Linked DNA regions of Coturnix japonica. The protein of the gene in region 1 purifies or fractionates together with the protein of each later gene. This does not show direct contact. Links are inferred from orthologs where the notes say so. Each region holds a gene or a part of one and is shown in the gene's direction. Other genes may lie near its edges.

The links.
Region 2: the proteins of DUSP4 (region 1) and MAPK1 purify together in Homo sapiens (affinity purification with mass spectrometry; 6 studies listed by BioGRID and IntAct, with this or other methods). This does not show direct contact. The link is inferred for Coturnix japonica from reciprocal best matches to the Homo sapiens genes DUSP4 and MAPK1.
Region 3: the proteins of DUSP4 (region 1) and MAPK8 purify together in Homo sapiens (affinity purification with western blotting; 3 studies listed by BioGRID and IntAct, with this or other methods). This does not show direct contact. The link is inferred for Coturnix japonica from reciprocal best matches to the Homo sapiens genes DUSP4 and MAPK8.
Region 4: the proteins of DUSP4 (region 1) and MAPK14 purify together in Homo sapiens (affinity purification with mass spectrometry; 3 studies listed by BioGRID and IntAct, with this or other methods). This does not show direct contact. The link is inferred for Coturnix japonica from reciprocal best matches to the Homo sapiens genes DUSP4 and MAPK14.

What each region holds. Positions count from the first base shown.
Region 1 is NC_029519.1:44,028,685-44,032,873, forward strand, and holds the start of DUSP4 (dual specificity protein phosphatase 4), read left to right. Parts: upstream 1-1,360; 5' UTR 1,361-1,382; coding exon 1,383-1,926; intron 1,927-4,189. UniProt on the Homo sapiens protein: Regulates mitogenic signal transduction by dephosphorylating both Thr and Tyr residues on MAP kinases ERK1 and ERK2.
Region 2 is NC_029530.1:385,749-390,106, forward strand, and holds the start of MAPK1 (mitogen-activated protein kinase 1), read left to right. Parts: upstream 1-1,544; 5' UTR 1,545-1,768; coding exon 1,769-1,911; intron 1,912-4,358. UniProt on the Homo sapiens protein: Serine/threonine kinase which acts as an essential component of the MAP kinase signal transduction pathway. MAPK1/ERK2 and MAPK3/ERK1 are the 2 MAPKs which play an important role in the MAPK/ERK cascade.
Region 3 is NC_029521.1:15,676,625-15,680,752, forward strand, and holds the start of MAPK8 (mitogen-activated protein kinase 8), read left to right. Parts: upstream 1-1,272; 5' UTR 1,273-1,383; intron 1,384-4,128. UniProt on the Homo sapiens protein: Serine/threonine-protein kinase involved in various processes such as cell proliferation, differentiation, migration, transformation and programmed cell death.
Region 4 is NC_029541.1:531,749-535,308, forward strand, and holds part of MAPK14 (mitogen-activated protein kinase 14), read left to right. Parts: intron 1-225; coding exon 226-337; intron 338-842; coding exon 843-872; intron 873-1,357; coding exon 1,358-1,405; intron 1,406-1,881; coding exon 1,882-1,996; exon of another isoform or gene 1,997-3,004; coding exon 3,005-3,076; intron 3,077-3,560. UniProt on the Homo sapiens protein: Serine/threonine kinase which acts as an essential component of the MAP kinase signal transduction pathway.

The sequences.
Region 1 (4,189 bases):
ATTTCCTCTCAAGCTAATTGCGGCAAGGGAGATTCCTGCGATGGCGGATCTCCATCAGACACCCATGCACGTGCACATATATCATTGCTCCGTCCTGAAATAGTATCTTCCATCGATGCTTGTGTGAACATTCAGATATAGGCAGCCCCAATTCCCCCCTCCTGTGCCAACGCTCCCTTTCTCTCCCATCTCAGAGTTGGGTTCAGCCACATGGGAAAAAACAGGACTGGGTTCTGGCTCCAAGGACGTCTGCACTGTGCCCTTGGTTAGGCAATGTCAGTACAAGGAAGAATGCCTGCTGAGGTCTGCCTCTGCTCAGTAGGAAGAGATTTCTTCTTTCCATGTTTCTAATGCAGGCTGGGACAGGAGCAAACTGAGCTCCCATCCCTGCTCTATTTGTTAGCAGGCTCCACTATGTTTGTAGCATGCGGTGCAGCAACCAGCAGCTATGCCTGCCCGTAGCTGGGTTGTGGTGGCTTGCTGGAGAAGGGCTGGCACAGCACATGAGAGCCATGGGCGGGCACACACAAGAGTGGTAAACCTGGCAGAGAACACGCTGTAAGTAAGAGGCAGCACCAGGCCATGGGGTTGGTATCAGTTTGAGGCTTCCAACACGTGCAGTAGGCCGGGTTCATCCCAGGCAGGGATGCACTGCACCGTGTCATCTGCCCTGCCCGAACAAACAGCCACTGGCATGCAGGGGAGGGGCTGCCTGTCTGTCTGGGTGCTGCCCTCTATGGACTGGGCAGATGGGCTTGGAGAAACTGCGGGCCCTTCATTTGGTTCGCTCCATTTCTAAGGCTGTAGATCAGCACACGGGCATCTTCATATGCCCCCTGGAGCAGACAGCCGTGGCCTGGTAGAGTCTCCTTTCAGGAAGTGCCCCAGCCATGGCTTGAAATTGGGTTTTGCAGCATCGCTCTGGGGGGCGAGCAGCCTCAGATGGGGATTGTGAGCAAAATGGCTGCGTGGTGCCTTGGTGGTCCCCGCAGGGTCCTGGAGGTGCTTCCTGGACGGGCTGCCGCTTCACCGGCCGTTCCTGACGGGGAGGGGGGTGGGTTGAAGTGCGGCAGCGGCAGAGCAGCGCTCAGGGGGAGCCTGGAGAGGGAAACGTGCCCGAGAGCAACACGCGCTAAAGGACAAAGGGAGAAGGAGCACGAGCATAAGCGCGCGTCCTGAGGTCGCTTGTACGTGTACGTGTGTATGTGTGTGTGTGTGTGGGGGTGACCCACCGAGGTGGGGGGACGAGGAGGGGGGCAGGAGGGGGGGGGCCTCCCCCCGCTGTGAGCGCGGCTCCCCGCAGCGCCCGCCCTCCCGCCGCCTGTCCCCATTCACAAAAACGCGGCGAAGATGGCGGGCGGGCGGCGAGCCCTTTTTTGTGAATGGAGGCGGTGACGTCGGCCGCGCCCTTGCGCCGCCTTCCCTCCATTCATTCCTTGGGCTGGATGCAGAGGGGCGGGGCGGCGCGGCGGGTAGTAAAGGTTGGGGCGGCCCGGGGCGGAGAGCGGCCGGAGCAGGGAGCGGGGAAACGCGGCCCCGACATGGTGGCCCCCGAGGGGCTGCGGGAGATGGAGGGCAGCGCCCTGCGGCGCCTGGTGGGACGCGAGGAGGCGAGCGGCGGGCGCTGCCTGCTGCTGGACTGCCGGCCCTTCCTGGCGCACAGCGCCGGCCACATCCGCGGGGCGCTCAACGTGCGCTGCAACACCATCGTGAGGCGGAGGGCCAAGGGAGCCGTGAGCCTGGAGCAGATCCTGCCGGCCGAGGGCGAGGTGCGGGCGCGGCTGCGCGCCGGGCTGTACACCGCCGTGGTGCTGTACGACGAGCGCAGCCCCCGCGCCGAGGCCCTGCGGGACGACAGCACCGTGACCCTCGTGCTGCGAGCCCTGCGCCGCGACATGGCGAGGGCCGACATCCGGCTGCTGGCAGGTAAACGGGGCAGAAACGACGGGGTGGGCGCCCGGAGATCCACGGGGAAGGAGGGAGGGACGAGCCCCGAGTGCGGCTCCGTCCCCGGGGCCGATCGGGCCCTTCGCCGTGGGGAGCGCCCCGGGAGGACGCTGCGATTGTGCCGCGGGAGCCGGTGCTGAGGGTCGGGGTGGGGGGTATCAGGAGAAATTCCTTCTCCCGAAGAGCGGTGACGCATCGGCACGGGCTGCACGGGGAGGCGGTGCGGTCACCGGCCTCGGAGGGGTGCAGGAAACGTGGAGATGTGGCACTGAGCAACGCGGTCAGTGAGCACGGCGGGGATGGGCTGCGGGTTGGACTGGACGGTCTTAGGGATCTTTCTAACCTTAACGAGTCTGTTCTTTCGTGCTCTTTGCGTGGGAGGCTGTGAGCAAGCAGGGCTGCTGGGCTGGAGGGGCCCTGCGAGGTTCTGTAGAAGAAAAGGGTTCTCACTGGGTTGGTTCTGACCCCCTGAGAGTGAATGTGTTCCATGGTTTGCTCCCAGCAGTGGTGAGAACGCGTGTGCGCAGAGCAGCAAACCATTAGGAGGCTCTCACGGATGGAGCAGGAGCGCAGCTGAGGGCTCATTGGGAACCTGCTTCGGGTGCTCAGCCACGAGCTGTCACTTTGTTGGGAGCTGAGTGCTTGGGAGGGACCTGGGCAGCCTGACTGTGAATGGCAGCCAGCCCATGGCAGGGCATTAGAACTGGATGGGTTCTGAGATCCATTGCAACCTAAGCCATTCTGTGATTCTGTGATGCCCGTGTGGTTCTCAAGCAGGATTGTCTGGGGTTAGCAATCCCTTATTTCTAAGAGTGAAATCTTAGTTATTTTGAGGTATGGGCTCTTCGAGTCTCAACCCTTACACCAGAAGCCTCCTGCTTGCTTACCTTAGAAATGTAAAAGTTCCTTCTCACTCCAGTTTGCAAGAGTCACACAAACCTGGCACTGTGTGTGTCCAAAGGCATATTTACTGGGTAGCACTTTGCTAAACTGCCCTTCAATTTGATGAGGAGCATTGAAATCTTCCCTGTTGGAAGGGTCACTTTGCCTTTCCCAGGAGGAAGTTCATATTTCCACATGAAATATGGGCAGCTTTCCCATCTTATAGAATCACAGAATGGCTTTGATTGAAGGGAACCTTAAGGCTTCCAACCCGTTGCTGTAGGCTGGTTGCCCCCCATCAGCGTAGGCTGTCCAGGACCCCATCCAGCCTGGCCCTAAGCACCTCTAGGGATGAGGCATCCACAGTTTGTGGTGGTGTGATGACCATGAAAGCGGGATCGGGGTGATGGGAATGTCTACCCAGCACATCTGTGTTCTGGGTGTTCCTCCAAATTCAGCCAGCGAGACTGAAAAGGGCTTTCAGGTTCTGGAAATGCAGCCTCTGCAAACTGATCTTCTCGTGTGATGCACATTTACTGGTGTGTACATTTCCCTGCTGTAAGGGGCTGGAATTCTTCCTTGCGGAAGGGAAGAAAACCATAAAGGACGTTGAGATGCTGAATCGGTCTCCAGCTGCCAAGGGGCTCCTGGGGTGCCTTGTCAGATAAGCTTGCATCCACCTGAGAGCCAGAGTTCGCATTTCCATTGCTCTTGAGAACACCCAACCTTGTTCAGTGTCTACTTAGAGCTAAAGCTGGTGTAAGGAATGTGTCCTGCTGCATGTGCTCTGCCAGGCCCGGGCGATGAGCACCAGTCCTGCACTTGGAATGAATCTTCAGCAGCTCTCCTGGGAGACAGGGCTCCATCTGGCTGGATTCATGGCAATAATAAAATCCCTGACTTGTGTTGGCTTTAAGGCTCTACATCAGCTGACAAGGATGTCAACCATGCTGATTTGATTTGAGTGAGGACAGGAAATTTGCCCAGAGGTGCTTATCTGCTGCCCTGGGAAGCAAACAGGTGGCAGCTCTGTTGGATCTTCCTCATGGGGAGGCACAAGGTCACACCTCTGACATCTCCTTGGCAGCTGCTCTTGGCAGCTGCAGTGAGCAGCTCTTCTATAGGCACCCACCTCTGTCCAGCCCACCCTGTCCTTGGGAGGCAGGGACAGCTCTCTGCAGAGTGGCTTTGCTGTGGGTTAACATCCAGGGCCTCCTGTCTGTTGGTCTGCGGGCATTGGGACTGAGGGAACCTCTCTGCATTTTGTGTCTGAGAAAGTAGAGAATTGAACAGTCTGTAGTGCAGGAAGGCATTGGAGTTTCAGGTCACTGGTAACAAACCCTCTCTCCATTGCCTTAGA
Region 2 (4,358 bases), on another chromosome or scaffold:
TGGCATGCTCAAAACAAATATAGCTGTTTACCACTTTTAAGTCCATAATCTATAAACCACCATAATAAGCTTCCTGCAAAGTCGGTCAGAATGCTGAGCAGGGAAGAAACAAATACTGGGGGAAAAAGAAAGTGAGTTTGTTTTGGCATCAAATTGCCCTGCACTTTGGGCAAGATACTGCTTTTATCTGCCCAACAGCATAAAATGACAGAGATTCTCAGTCACGGGGAGGTCACTTTACACTGCTGAAGCAGTGGATGACATTTAAATGACAACTTGTCCCGTGGGCTTTCGGCTGTATGACACCAGTTCAATCAGGCCCAGGTAGGTTCTGATTAGAAGTCATTAGCATCTGATGCTCTTTATGACTCTCTTAGGATGGCTCCCAGTGGATCAGAGCTCATATCCGAGCAATTTCAGTTTGTGTCACATTCATCACCATGGTTGCTGACTGCCTTAGAAGTTAAAATACATCTTTATAGAATGCCTTACATGTCTTACTTCTCTTTCTTCTCCTCCAGGCAGAGGCTTGAAGTCTCCTTAAATAACACTTGGAAAATTGCTTTCTGTACTGGATGTCTGCATTTGGTTTGGACGACGGGGCACTGGGAGCACAGCACTGAGCACAGCACTGAGAGCACAGCACTGAGCACAGCACTGAGAGCACAGCACTGAGCACAGCACTGAGAGCACAGCACAGAGAACACAGCACAGAGCACAGCACTGAGAGCACAGCACTGAGCACAGCACTGAGAGCACAGCACTGAGAGCACAGCACTGAGCACAGCACTGAGAGCACAGCACTGAGCACAGCACTGAGAGCACAGCACTCTCCCTGCTTCTCCCAGGCCCCTTGTTTCTTTTACTTGTTACCTTTAAGTTTCCTTTACTTGTTTCTATAAACTACCTTTAAGTTTCCTGCATCACTGTTCAGTTTGAGTTTTAGCAGAGAAAACGAAATCCCCAAGAGCAGCACTGTGGGGCAGCTGTTTGTGCTTTTTCTAAGCCCAATGATGCTGTTCATTTTCTTCTCTCCACTCGTCATTACCCGCCGTCATTTCGTGGTATCAGCATCCCCTCAACATAACGCCGTGTTTCAGCCATCAAACCAATGACCTGCTTGAGACACCTTCCCATTCCTTCTGTCACTGATGCTTTAATGTCAGCTCAGACAGACGGCCCGGCCCGGCTGCGTGTGACAGCACCGTGTGTGACAGCACCGTGTGTGACAGCACCGTGTGGGCGCGGGAACGCGCACGTAGCGCCGGACACGGAGCCGCGGGAACGGCTGCGTGTCCGGCCCAGAGCGACGCGCACGGAGCTCGTCCCCGCACGGTGCTCGTACCCGCCGTGCTCGTCCCGTCCCGTCCCGTCCCGTTCCCCCCCATCCCGGTCTCCATTTCCTCCCGCCATCACCTGACTCCTCTAATGGCGGCGCTCGGAGCGGCCGCGCCCACCACGTGACCCGCCGCCCACGTGACCCGCGCGCCGCGCCCCCTCCCCGTCGGTTGCGGTTACCGCAGTCCGAGGCCCCCCCGGTCTCGCCCCGCCCCCCGCCCCCTCCCGTCCCGTCCCGTCCCCGCTCTGGTGGCGGTGGTTGCTCGGCGGGTCGGTTCGTTCCGTTCTCCGCGGCCCGTTCTCCGGCCGGTGCTTCTCAGCGCGGTGTGGCGGAGCCGCCTCCTTCCTCCTCGCTCCCTCCTTCCCGTCCCCTCCTTTCTCCTCCCTCCCCTCCCCGCACGCAGTCGCCGCGGTTCCCGGCACGGACAACATGGCGGCGGTGGCGGGGGCCGCGGCCGCGGGCGGCTCTACCGGCACCGGGGGCCCGGAGATGGTGCGGGGCCAAGTGTTCGACGTGGGGCCGCGATACACCAACCTCTCGTACATCGGAGAGGGGGCGTACGGCATGGTGTGGTGAGTACGGCATGGTGTGGTGAGTACGGCATGGTGTGGTGAGTACGGCACGGGGTGGTGAGTACGGCATGGGGTGGTGAGTACGGCATGGTGTGGTGAGTACGGCATGGGGTGGTGAGTACGGCATGGGGTGCTGAGTACGGCACGGGGTGGTGAGTACGGCACAGTGTGCTGAGTACGGCATGGGGTGGTGAGTACGGCTCGGGGCGCTGTGTGAGTGCGGCCGGGAGCGGCCCGCGCGGCCTCGGGGCGGGGCAGGTGAAGGTGAAGGCCGGGCGGCCGCCGCTTGCCCTGCCCTGGGCCCTGCCCTGCCCCGCTGTGCCCTGGGCCCCGCTGTCCCTTTGTGCGGCGCTCACCTGGCTGCTGCTGCTGCTGCTGCTGCTGCTGCCCGGGCCTCCCGCTGCGGCTGCGGCCGGGTGGCTCCGCTCGGCCCTGCCCGGCTGGCAGGCGGCGGCCGGGCCGTGTGTGCGCGTTCTGCGCCGACCGGTCCGAGCTCCGAGCGCCAACCGCGAAATGCGGGACAACGATCGCGAGATTTTGGCGTTGTAGCAGCGGCCCCGACGTGCCGGGCCGAGCCGCGGTGCTGCCGCTGAGCTCCGGGCTGGGCCGGCCGTGCTCGGCTCGGGGCACCTGCTCTGCATGGGCGGCTGTGGATGGGAAACGCAGCTCCTCGTTGACGGGCCCATCGCGGCGCTTCCCGGTGTGTTGTGTGACCGGAGGTGCTGTGTGACACTCGCAGCTATGGTTGTGTAGCAGCTTTGCTTTCTCTCTCTGTCGGTTCGTGCTTTGTAAACCGCAGTGTATCGCTCAGCAGAGCTGCCTTGCTGCCTTCAGCTGCACGCTGTGGATCTGCAGGTTTCCTCTCGCAGCTGTGGGGATGTGCTGCTCCGTCACGGTGAGGCCGAGCTGTGTTGGTGGGAGCTGGAGCCGCTCCTGAGCTGCTGGGGAGGCAGACAAACATCTGCCAGGAACTTTAAAGCTGCGGCCTTTGCTTTTGTGTTGTGGGAAGAAGCTCCAGCACATAAACCAAAAAAAACAAAAGCTCCCGTTGATGGTGTAAAAATAACCTTGTTATTGGTTTAGTGCTGGAAGTCACAACAACGGCCCGTCCAGAGCTCGTGTTCCAGGTGTTGTTATTGTGTGCCTTTATCAGCGGAGCCGGGTGGCAGCTCGCAGCCCCAGCAGAGCTTGGTGCCCGCAGAGCGATCCAGGCAGGAGCTGTGAGCAGCGCCGTGCCGTGCGGTACCGAGGTGGTGCCGCAGCCGGCTGCTCACGCTGAGATGTTTGTGCACGGCGCAGTGCGGTGGCAGCTGATGCCCTTTTTTGGCGTCACCGTGATTGGGAGCAGACAGGGAAACGGGGTCCTTCTCTTCCCCTGCACACGGTGTGTCACTCCATTCTGTTATGGAAGGGTTTCCTCTCTGAAACTGTGGAATATTATCGTCTGTTTGGAAACTTGCCATATTAAATGATATTCTGCTTCAAATGCTATCTGTATTTCTTAACAAAAAATTCTGAATCTCCAGTTTAGTTGAGATATTCATTTGGCTCCTTTGTTTTCTTCTCTAAAGCTGTTGGTGTGAAATCCTGAACGTGATACATTGCACTGTAATTATTGATCTTCTGCCTTGGGTGTGAAATGCCAGGGAACAAAGTCTCAGTTTATGCGTGTTTGACAAAGGAGGTGCTGGATGCACATGTTCCAGCTGAATGCCATAGCAACTGTCATGCCTTGCAGCGCAGCACACCGACTACTATGGTTAAGTAACAGTGCTTACTGAGCAGTGCAGGTAGAGCTTATGCAGATTCGTACTGCGTGTCCCGGGTCTTGCTTTGACTGTAACGCAGTGCAGATCTGCAGAGCATCTCCCTTCCGGGCTGGGGTGGCAGAGGGCAAAGCCACAGGGTGCAGGTGGAGACAGCTCCTGCTATTGAAAAGCCATTTAGGTTTGTACTCTTAAGAAAGGACAGCAAGGCAAGCGTTAATGGCTTTGTTTTAGGCAGTCAGCTGATGTGTATGAGACAGAAGGTGCTGGTTATTTCTAAATGCATTGTGCTGTAAGGCTTGCTATATGCAAAATGGGTGGCTTAACTCTTAGTGGAATCCCTCACTCGCTTATTTTTCACAAGTGTTATGTTTCCACATCGCTGAATTAGGGAGTTCATATTTAAAAAACATCTTGCTGGGAGTTAAGAGGTTAATAAGTGGGTATCCATGTAAGCATCCCTTCCCAAACTGTTGTTTTTCACTTTTCTTGCACGTGGAACCAGGGGATGAGCACCATGCTGAGATGTAGCTGAAATCCGCAGCACCTTGCTGACAGTAAGACATGAAATAGCAAATACAGGGCTTTGTTGGCCTGGGATCAGCCAGTACTGGCTGCTGCTGGAAGCTGCGGAGCTCTCAGGTGCAGTGATGGCTCTGGAACGAAGCTGCCCCTTCCTCG
Region 3 (4,128 bases), on another chromosome or scaffold:
GCTGCGTTGTCTGGGGTTTCATACTGCTCCTTCTGCCAAGCTGAGCTTTGCCTCTTTCACACATAAACACGGCAGGGAATGCAATGTCTGATCATGATCTAACATAATTCAACAGGAAGTCTCAAACCTGAAAGCTGGCTATGTCACTTCTGGGTCTGTCTCATGGAATGACAGGTGGTGAGGCAGGAGTGGCTACCTTGGTAACATGCTTACAGTGTAGTGGGATCCAGGGACACCTGGGAGCAGTCTGAACAACAGTTTTGTTTTATTTTGTTTTCCTATAAATTGTTATGTATAGGTCTATAGGGAACTGCAAAGGAACAACTTCTAACTTAAGGGGTTGAAATAGGATTGTTTGTATTGAGAATTTTAAGGTCAGACAGTGCAGATATTTCCATAAAATGGGAATGTGAGTAGTATACAGCTTTTGACATTATGACAGTGGGTAAGACTGGAACATCTGAAGCAGTATCCTTACTAGTTAAAAATCTATTTTTTGTTTCAGAGATGTGGAAAGACAATCTCACTGCATTATTTTGCATCTTCAAAAATGTGGCACAAGCCATTCCAATGTTTGACAGTAAGATGTGAAGCGTCCAATTCACTGTGCCCTGTGCCTAACTGGTAGATTTTATGTATTTTTAAAGACTCTTCCGGAGGTTTTATTTTTAGTACTACGCAGTGTAAGTATACAAAGGCTTGTTTCAGCCATATTGACATGACTTCAAGGTATGGAGTCTGTAGACAGGGGTATTGCTGGTTGAAAGGAGAAAAACAGAGGAGGGAAGGGAAAGGAAAGGAAGAATAACAAACAGAACATTGTAAAAACAAAGCAGAGCACCCATGGGAGGTGCCAAGAGCTAAAGGTGGTGGTAATAACTCAAAATCTCACAAATAGCTGCCTAAAGCTTAGAGAACAAACGGTGCCAAACCAGATACAGAAGATGTTACACCACTCCAGATACCCAGCAATGAGATAAAGCACTGCCATTCCAGATGTTCAGGGGGAAGGCTAGGACTGCCAAGGCCTTGCAGGATGTCTGGGAACACTAGGAAACGGAGGAGAGCATGAAGGCAAACACCTGAAAAACGCAGTTTTGTTACAGCAGGCCCGGGTACAGGGCATAATGCTGGGAAGGAGCAGGCACAGCCCAGCAGACACCAGACCGGGCTCAGCGGCAGCGCTGGCAGCCTGCAGCCTCCCGCAGGGCCCGTGCCCGGAGGGGCGGCTCAGGGGCGGCGGGGGCCGGGCCGGGCGTGCGGGCGGAGCGAGCGGAGGGGGCGGGCAGCCGCAGCCGCGCCGGGCGGACGAAGCGCGGTGCGTGTGCGCGGCCCGGCCCCGGTTCATTATTCAGCGGCCGAGGAAGGAGGCGACGGGAGGTGGTATGTGCGGTGCCTGGGGTTGAGGAGGGATGGCGGTGGCGGCGGCTGGGAAGCGGGGCTGGAGCCGGGCGGGTGTGCAGGGAGCGGCAGCGCTGCGGGGGCCGGGCCTGGCCGCTTTGTTTACGTTCCAGCGCGGGGCAGCGGGCCGGCAGCGAGCGTGGCGTGGCCCTTTTCTTCCTGCGGGGTTGTCTGCGTTCGTGACCTTCCCTGCGCGCCGGGCTCCGCTGCGGCCCGGCGGTGCGGGGGCTGCTGGAGGTGCCTGGGCGGATAATGGCGGGGGCCTCTTTGTTGATGTGACAGGAGGGGCAGCAGCCTCGGCGCCGGGCTCCTCCTCTTCCCCGGGCGGGGGGCAGCAGCCCAGGCCGTGGGCAGCTCTGGCAGCCCGGCCCTCGGTGCGGGGAGGTGCGAGCGCAGCCGTGCTCAGCCACCTCTGTGCTGAACTTCCATGACCTTGCTTTCAAAACGCCTTCTGAAGCAAAAAGCACTTCCCATAACTGCTCCGATTATAGGGCTTGGGGAAGGTGGGCAATGCCTTTGATTCTTTTGCCTTTTAGTTTTTGTAATCCTTGTAAAAACAGTGAGCTCTTTGCAATTTTTCTTTGCACTTTGTTTTCTCCATGTCATTATCAGCATCCAGTTTGGCTCCTGTAGCCTGCTTTCTTATGTTCAGTGCAGTGCTTTCACCAGTGAATCCTGGCCCAGGCACTGCTGATAACCCACAGATACAAGTCCCACTCAATTGTTTAGTTCCCCCAGCTATACATGTGGCATGGCTTTGAATTTCTGTATCATGCAGAGCAGGCTTGCTGAAGTCTTTCAGACAGTCCAAAAACCTTGTGTGTTTTGGCCTATCTGATAACACAAAAGGTGCTGTACTGGTTTGTGGAAGGTGAGTTTTGCTTGCCTCCTGGGCATGTGCTTGTAGCATTTAGCAAGCTTACATTACAGCTGGCTTCTTTGTATAGGTGTGGAGACTTGGCTGTAATGGCACACAGCTGAGCTGCTGAGACACAGCCTTGTTTCTGAAGATGCCAGCAGAGGTGCTTCTAGGGCAGAAGCACATGTAGAAGCGATAATGCACCTCACTGTATCTGTATATCTGCAGATATGTTGATAGATAACTTTGAACTAGTTCAGAGTGTTATTACATGAAGAGAATCTGGGCCCAACCTGGTTAAGGATAGTATCCAAGTGAGCTCACTGATGAATTTGAGTATTCCTTCTGTATAGTGAAGGGAAGCCCTTCCTTCAGCAGTAGCAAAGAAAAATGGGTTGTATTTTGAGTAGTCTTGTTCTATGATCTCAACATGTGGGGGAAGCCATCTTGTCATTCCCCACTTGATTCAAAGATGTGTAGCATGGGCTGGTTAGATAGGAGCAGTGATCATCCCACATCAGTTTCCTTTCTTTGCTGTAGCTTTTGCTCTGTGGTCTCAGTTTCCTCCCTTGAGTTTGAGTGCCAAGAAGCTCTGATGGGAATGTCTGGTTCTGGTAGAGTGCTGCAACACACGTGATGCCTGTACAGGCATCAGGCACATTCCAGTCTGTCAGATACTGGCAGTTTTCAGGGCCAACTGGCTGAAAGTGTGACAGGAGGGAAGAATCAAACGTTTATTGACAGACATTTATTAACACAGAGCTGAATCTGTGTGAAATCGTTGCCTTAACTTTGAACGGGAATGTTAACTGTGTCCTCTGCTCTCCCAAGCTTTTTTGACCAGGGGTGCCTCCACTTCACAAGATACAATATAATCTCATGAAGTGCCGTATACTTCATGGAGACTTCTTGATCAGCGACTCGGACAAAACCCGTTTACTGCGGTACTGAATTTTGTGGTTGGGGACTACTCGTTCTAGGTAGAAGTACAGCTGCCCTTTTGTATGTGTGGCTTTTGTGTTTTAACTTCCAGTAACTGAAAGCTCATTAGGGAGCAAGGCTTTAGCTGGCTGCGTGGGAGAGCAGATGTAACAACCTTCCAAATTCTTCAGGTAAACTTGTTACATTGTTTCCCTGTTACCAAACTACCGGGAATTGACCACGTGTTTGCGTATTTCATCCATTGAAGTCATTTTCTTCCACCAATGTACCAGAACTTGTTCCTTGTGGTTTCTTTCAGCTACTAACGGGTTATCTGTTCCTTTTATATTCCCTTTGTTGTTTTGGTTTGTCCTTTCTTCCTCAACCGCCAAATTATCTGAATGGCTATTCTTTAAAAGATGCATAGAAAGTACCTGCATACATACCTCTTCCTTTCTGCAGTTTTCTCCCGTGTTCTTGATAAATGCAAATCACTTTGATAGTCTGATGAAGAGTTTAGTATTCCATGCCTTAAACTTCATTCTCTTCCTCCTCTTTACCTGTGGGAGAACGTGCTGTGTTTACAGTGTTCTTAAAAAGTGTTATTTTAATGTAATTTTTGTGTTCAAGAAAAGTTTGGATGTTGTGTTGAGGGATATGTTTTAACTGGGAAATATTGGTGTTGGTTGGACTGGATGATCTTCTAGGTCTTTTCCAACCTTGATAATTCTGTAATTCTGTTTGTTTGTTTGTTTTTTCTACTGCTTTTCATCATAGATTTTTAATAAAGACAGAATATTTTCTCTCTGTAAATGTTTTCTTCAAACAAATAAACCCTGAGTTGTTCTTCATTCAAAACCTGCAGAAACAGAAATCTGTTTATATTATGGGAAGATCTCTTGGTCCTTGAAAGCTGTTTAAAAATCAAATTGAAACTACTTGTGTAG
Region 4 (3,560 bases), on another chromosome or scaffold:
AATTACTGGGATGCCCCATGCTAATGGACTCTTCCAGCTTGTTTTATTGGCCAGTGCTGTGGGAATTAGCGCACTGATCTGCTACTTTATTTAATGAGCTATGATTTATATTTTATTCAGTAAAATGCTCAGGAGGCTGCTGTGCTACAGGAGCTTTGTAAGAAATTCTTATGCTAATCGTGTTGAAGGGATTGCTTCATTGCCTGTGTTTCCTTTTGTTGATAGGTACTTGGTGACACACCTCATGGGAGCAGATCTAAACAATATTGTGAAATGCCAGAAACTCACAGATGACCATGTGCAGTTCCTCATATACCAGATTCTTCGGGGGCTGAAGGTACCTGCTCCTGTGTTGCCTGAATGCTGATAGCTCCTCAGCAGGAATTGGAGCTTGTCGATGAATGTCACATCCTCACAGTTTCATACGAATACACAGAGGGGCTTCCTTAATGTTCCTAAGTATTGTAGGATAACCTGTTATTGTTTTTTTTCCTTTCATACCTCTTTGGCGTATCCATAAAGCTGTGTACAACTTCAGAAGATACATAGATATGTTCCTGTGGACAAAGTCTAGAAAGTCACGATGTGTGCTTTACTTTAATCTACCTCATCTCTGTCTTCAGTTTGGTTTTCTTACATTGTTCCACTCCTGGCAGTAGCGCTTGTGGGTTTTCCTAAGGGGAGACTGAAGGTGAAACACTGATGTACTTGCAAGCTCTATTGATGCTGTACTTGGTTCCTCCTGCAGACAAGGGTGGGATAGGACAGTGTTGTCTAGTGAGGAAATGAGAAGAAGGCTGTTTGAGCTGTTGTATGTCATTATTTGTCATTTTGCTTTACAGTACATCCATTCAGCTGACATAATACACAGAGTAAGTATTTACCCTAAGATTACTTCCTATACTGGACAAAATGTCTTTAAAAAATGTAACATAGAATCTTACAGTGTAGCCTCTGTTGAATTAAGGAGAAATTGTCTGAGAATTATTTTTGTAGAACAGTAGAGGATAGTGATGGTTCTCCTGATCATTAATTTCTTCTCCTACCTCTGTTTGGCTTGTCTCTTTGTGGAATAAGTTCGCTGTTAATTATTACACCACTAACGCAAGTCCTGTAGATACATAAACATGCATTTTTGCTTGTATTCTGCACCTCTGCAGACAGCGCAGGATAGAGCTGGTTCTGGGATAAAATTATTTTTTTGAATATGGAGAATTGATGTTGAAAGCCACAAAGATGATTGATTTTTTTCTACCGGACTTTAAATTTTAATCTAATTCAGACTTTTACAACAGCATATATACAGCCATTAATGCTGATGCTGTTTAATTTTTATTTTTTTATTATTTTTTTTTAGGATTTAAAACCTAGTAACTTAGCTGTAAATGAAGACTGTGAGCTAAAGGTAAGACAGTCATGGCATGTGACTTGTTTGACTGTGATCCAAGTGAATGCTGTCTGAATCTTCCTTGAAATGAAGGGTGCAAAGTGATTTTTCATGGAAATACTTCAGTGAAACAAGCTAGTTGTGTCCTTCTCAGTCATAAAATGTTGTGAAGATGCTTATATAGAAGCATCTCTCTTCTGTGTGTTCATGTGTTTTGTTTGTTTGTTTTTGTTGTTAAATCAATCTGAGAATAAGCAGTTAATAGCTGTGGTTTGGACTTTTTGCTATTTTCAGAGACAAGATATCTGGGTGTGATGCTGATGGAGTGCTGTGCTGTTCTCGCCTTTTAACAAGTCATGAAATTTAGTTTTGTTGTGGTTGCGCCACCTGTCCTCCACTCAGTGCAAGACTTGGAAGCTGTAAGGAGCAAACAGCCGGACGTGGTACCACTGCAGTAATAGGCGGATGTCTTTTTTGTTGTTTTTATTACGTAGATCCTGGATTTTGGTTTGGCTCGACAAACTGATGATGAAATGACTGGCTACGTGGCTACAAGGTGGTACAGAGCTCCAGAGATCATGCTGAACTGGATGCATTACAACCAAACAGGTGATCCATTTTACTAATAAAAGGCTTCTTGGTTCCTGAGTTCCTTGTGGGGAGGTCCAGGGAAGGTTCATGTTCTGTTCCATTTGATTGTGTAAATTGACAGTTACGCTAATTACACTTCAGTGATTAAAAGAAGTAAGACGCAAATTAGTTTTAAAACCACAATCTCATATCTAAGGTATGAACTATTATGATAGTGTTTACAACGCTTCCTTAAACTTCAACCTTTGAAACTGCACTTGGAGCAATCTTGTCACTACTTACCCCTTTTCCTAGCACAACTACTTTTAAAGTAAGTGAATAGAATGTATCTAGGTGAGAAAGACGGTGCCTTTCTAGAAAGCTGCTGGAAATGCATTTTAAAAATGTCTGTGATTATGGAGTACAGAAATGCTAAAGATGCATAGAAGTGTCCCTTTCTTCTTAGCCACTTCTTTTTCATCACGTCCTCCTGGTTTGATTGGCTTCCCAGCAGCGCACCGTTATTCCCTGTGAATAAAAGAATGCTTTCAGATCAAGCACAGTAAGGGAAAGAAAGGGCAGATTTTTTCTAGTACATGAATGCTTACTAGTCAATACAAATAACATGCTGTTCTAATTTCAGACCTCACTGATTCTGTGTTTTGTCTTTTCCTCCTGTGTGTACATGGGCCTGTCTTGTCTGTAATGTAGGAGTTGGTGGTTGTTCAGGTGGCATTTATGTAAGACCAGATTCATTCCTTATAGCTATCTTTAACAGATTTCTTCCTTGATTATGTAGATGCCTCCATAGCTCTTTGGTGTCCAATGCACAATACATTCTGGAAGGAAAAGTTGTCTATCTTGTCATCATTGGGAAAAGTCTTACTCAAAGTGGTTAATGAGCAGTGCCAGTTTCCTTGCAACCTCAGGTTCTTTCAACACCGTGAGATTACTGAAGTGTAACAGCGGTTGTAATTGTTGGATAGAGTGATTTTATTGAGACTTCATTTTTCTGCCTTACGATTTTATTTATTTTATTTTGTTCAGTTGATATTTGGTCAGTGGGATGCATTATGGCTGAACTGTTGACTGGAAGAACGTTGTTCCCTGGTACAGACCGTATCCTTTACAAGTGACATGATTTCCAAACTGGAATTTAGAGGTTTTCTCTTTGATGTGCTTCCCAAGGAAATGAGTTTTGTGTTGTTTGGTTGGGTGATGGTGATTTATTTATTTATTTATTTTTCCTCTTTGTTTCTAACTAACGTATGGCTTCTTCTACTCACAGTATGATGGAGTTCTCAATTTTGCTGCATGTGGAGTCATTGCAGTGTGCAGGGAGGCAAATCTATTACTGTTTATTTCTGTTAGCATTACTAGAGTTGATCATTTCTGGGAGTGAATTTCTTTTAAATTTGAGTCCATCTCTTTTTGAGTTCATAGGAAAATAACTGCTTGGAGTTGTCTGTGCTGTTAATTCCTCTCATGCTTCATGTTTGTAGGAAATGGGAAGCCCCTCTTCTGTATCCTGTTGGTATGCTATGAAAGCAGTGCATTTGCAGACTTCAGTGCCAGGGACCTCATCCCAAACTGCTCTGAAATG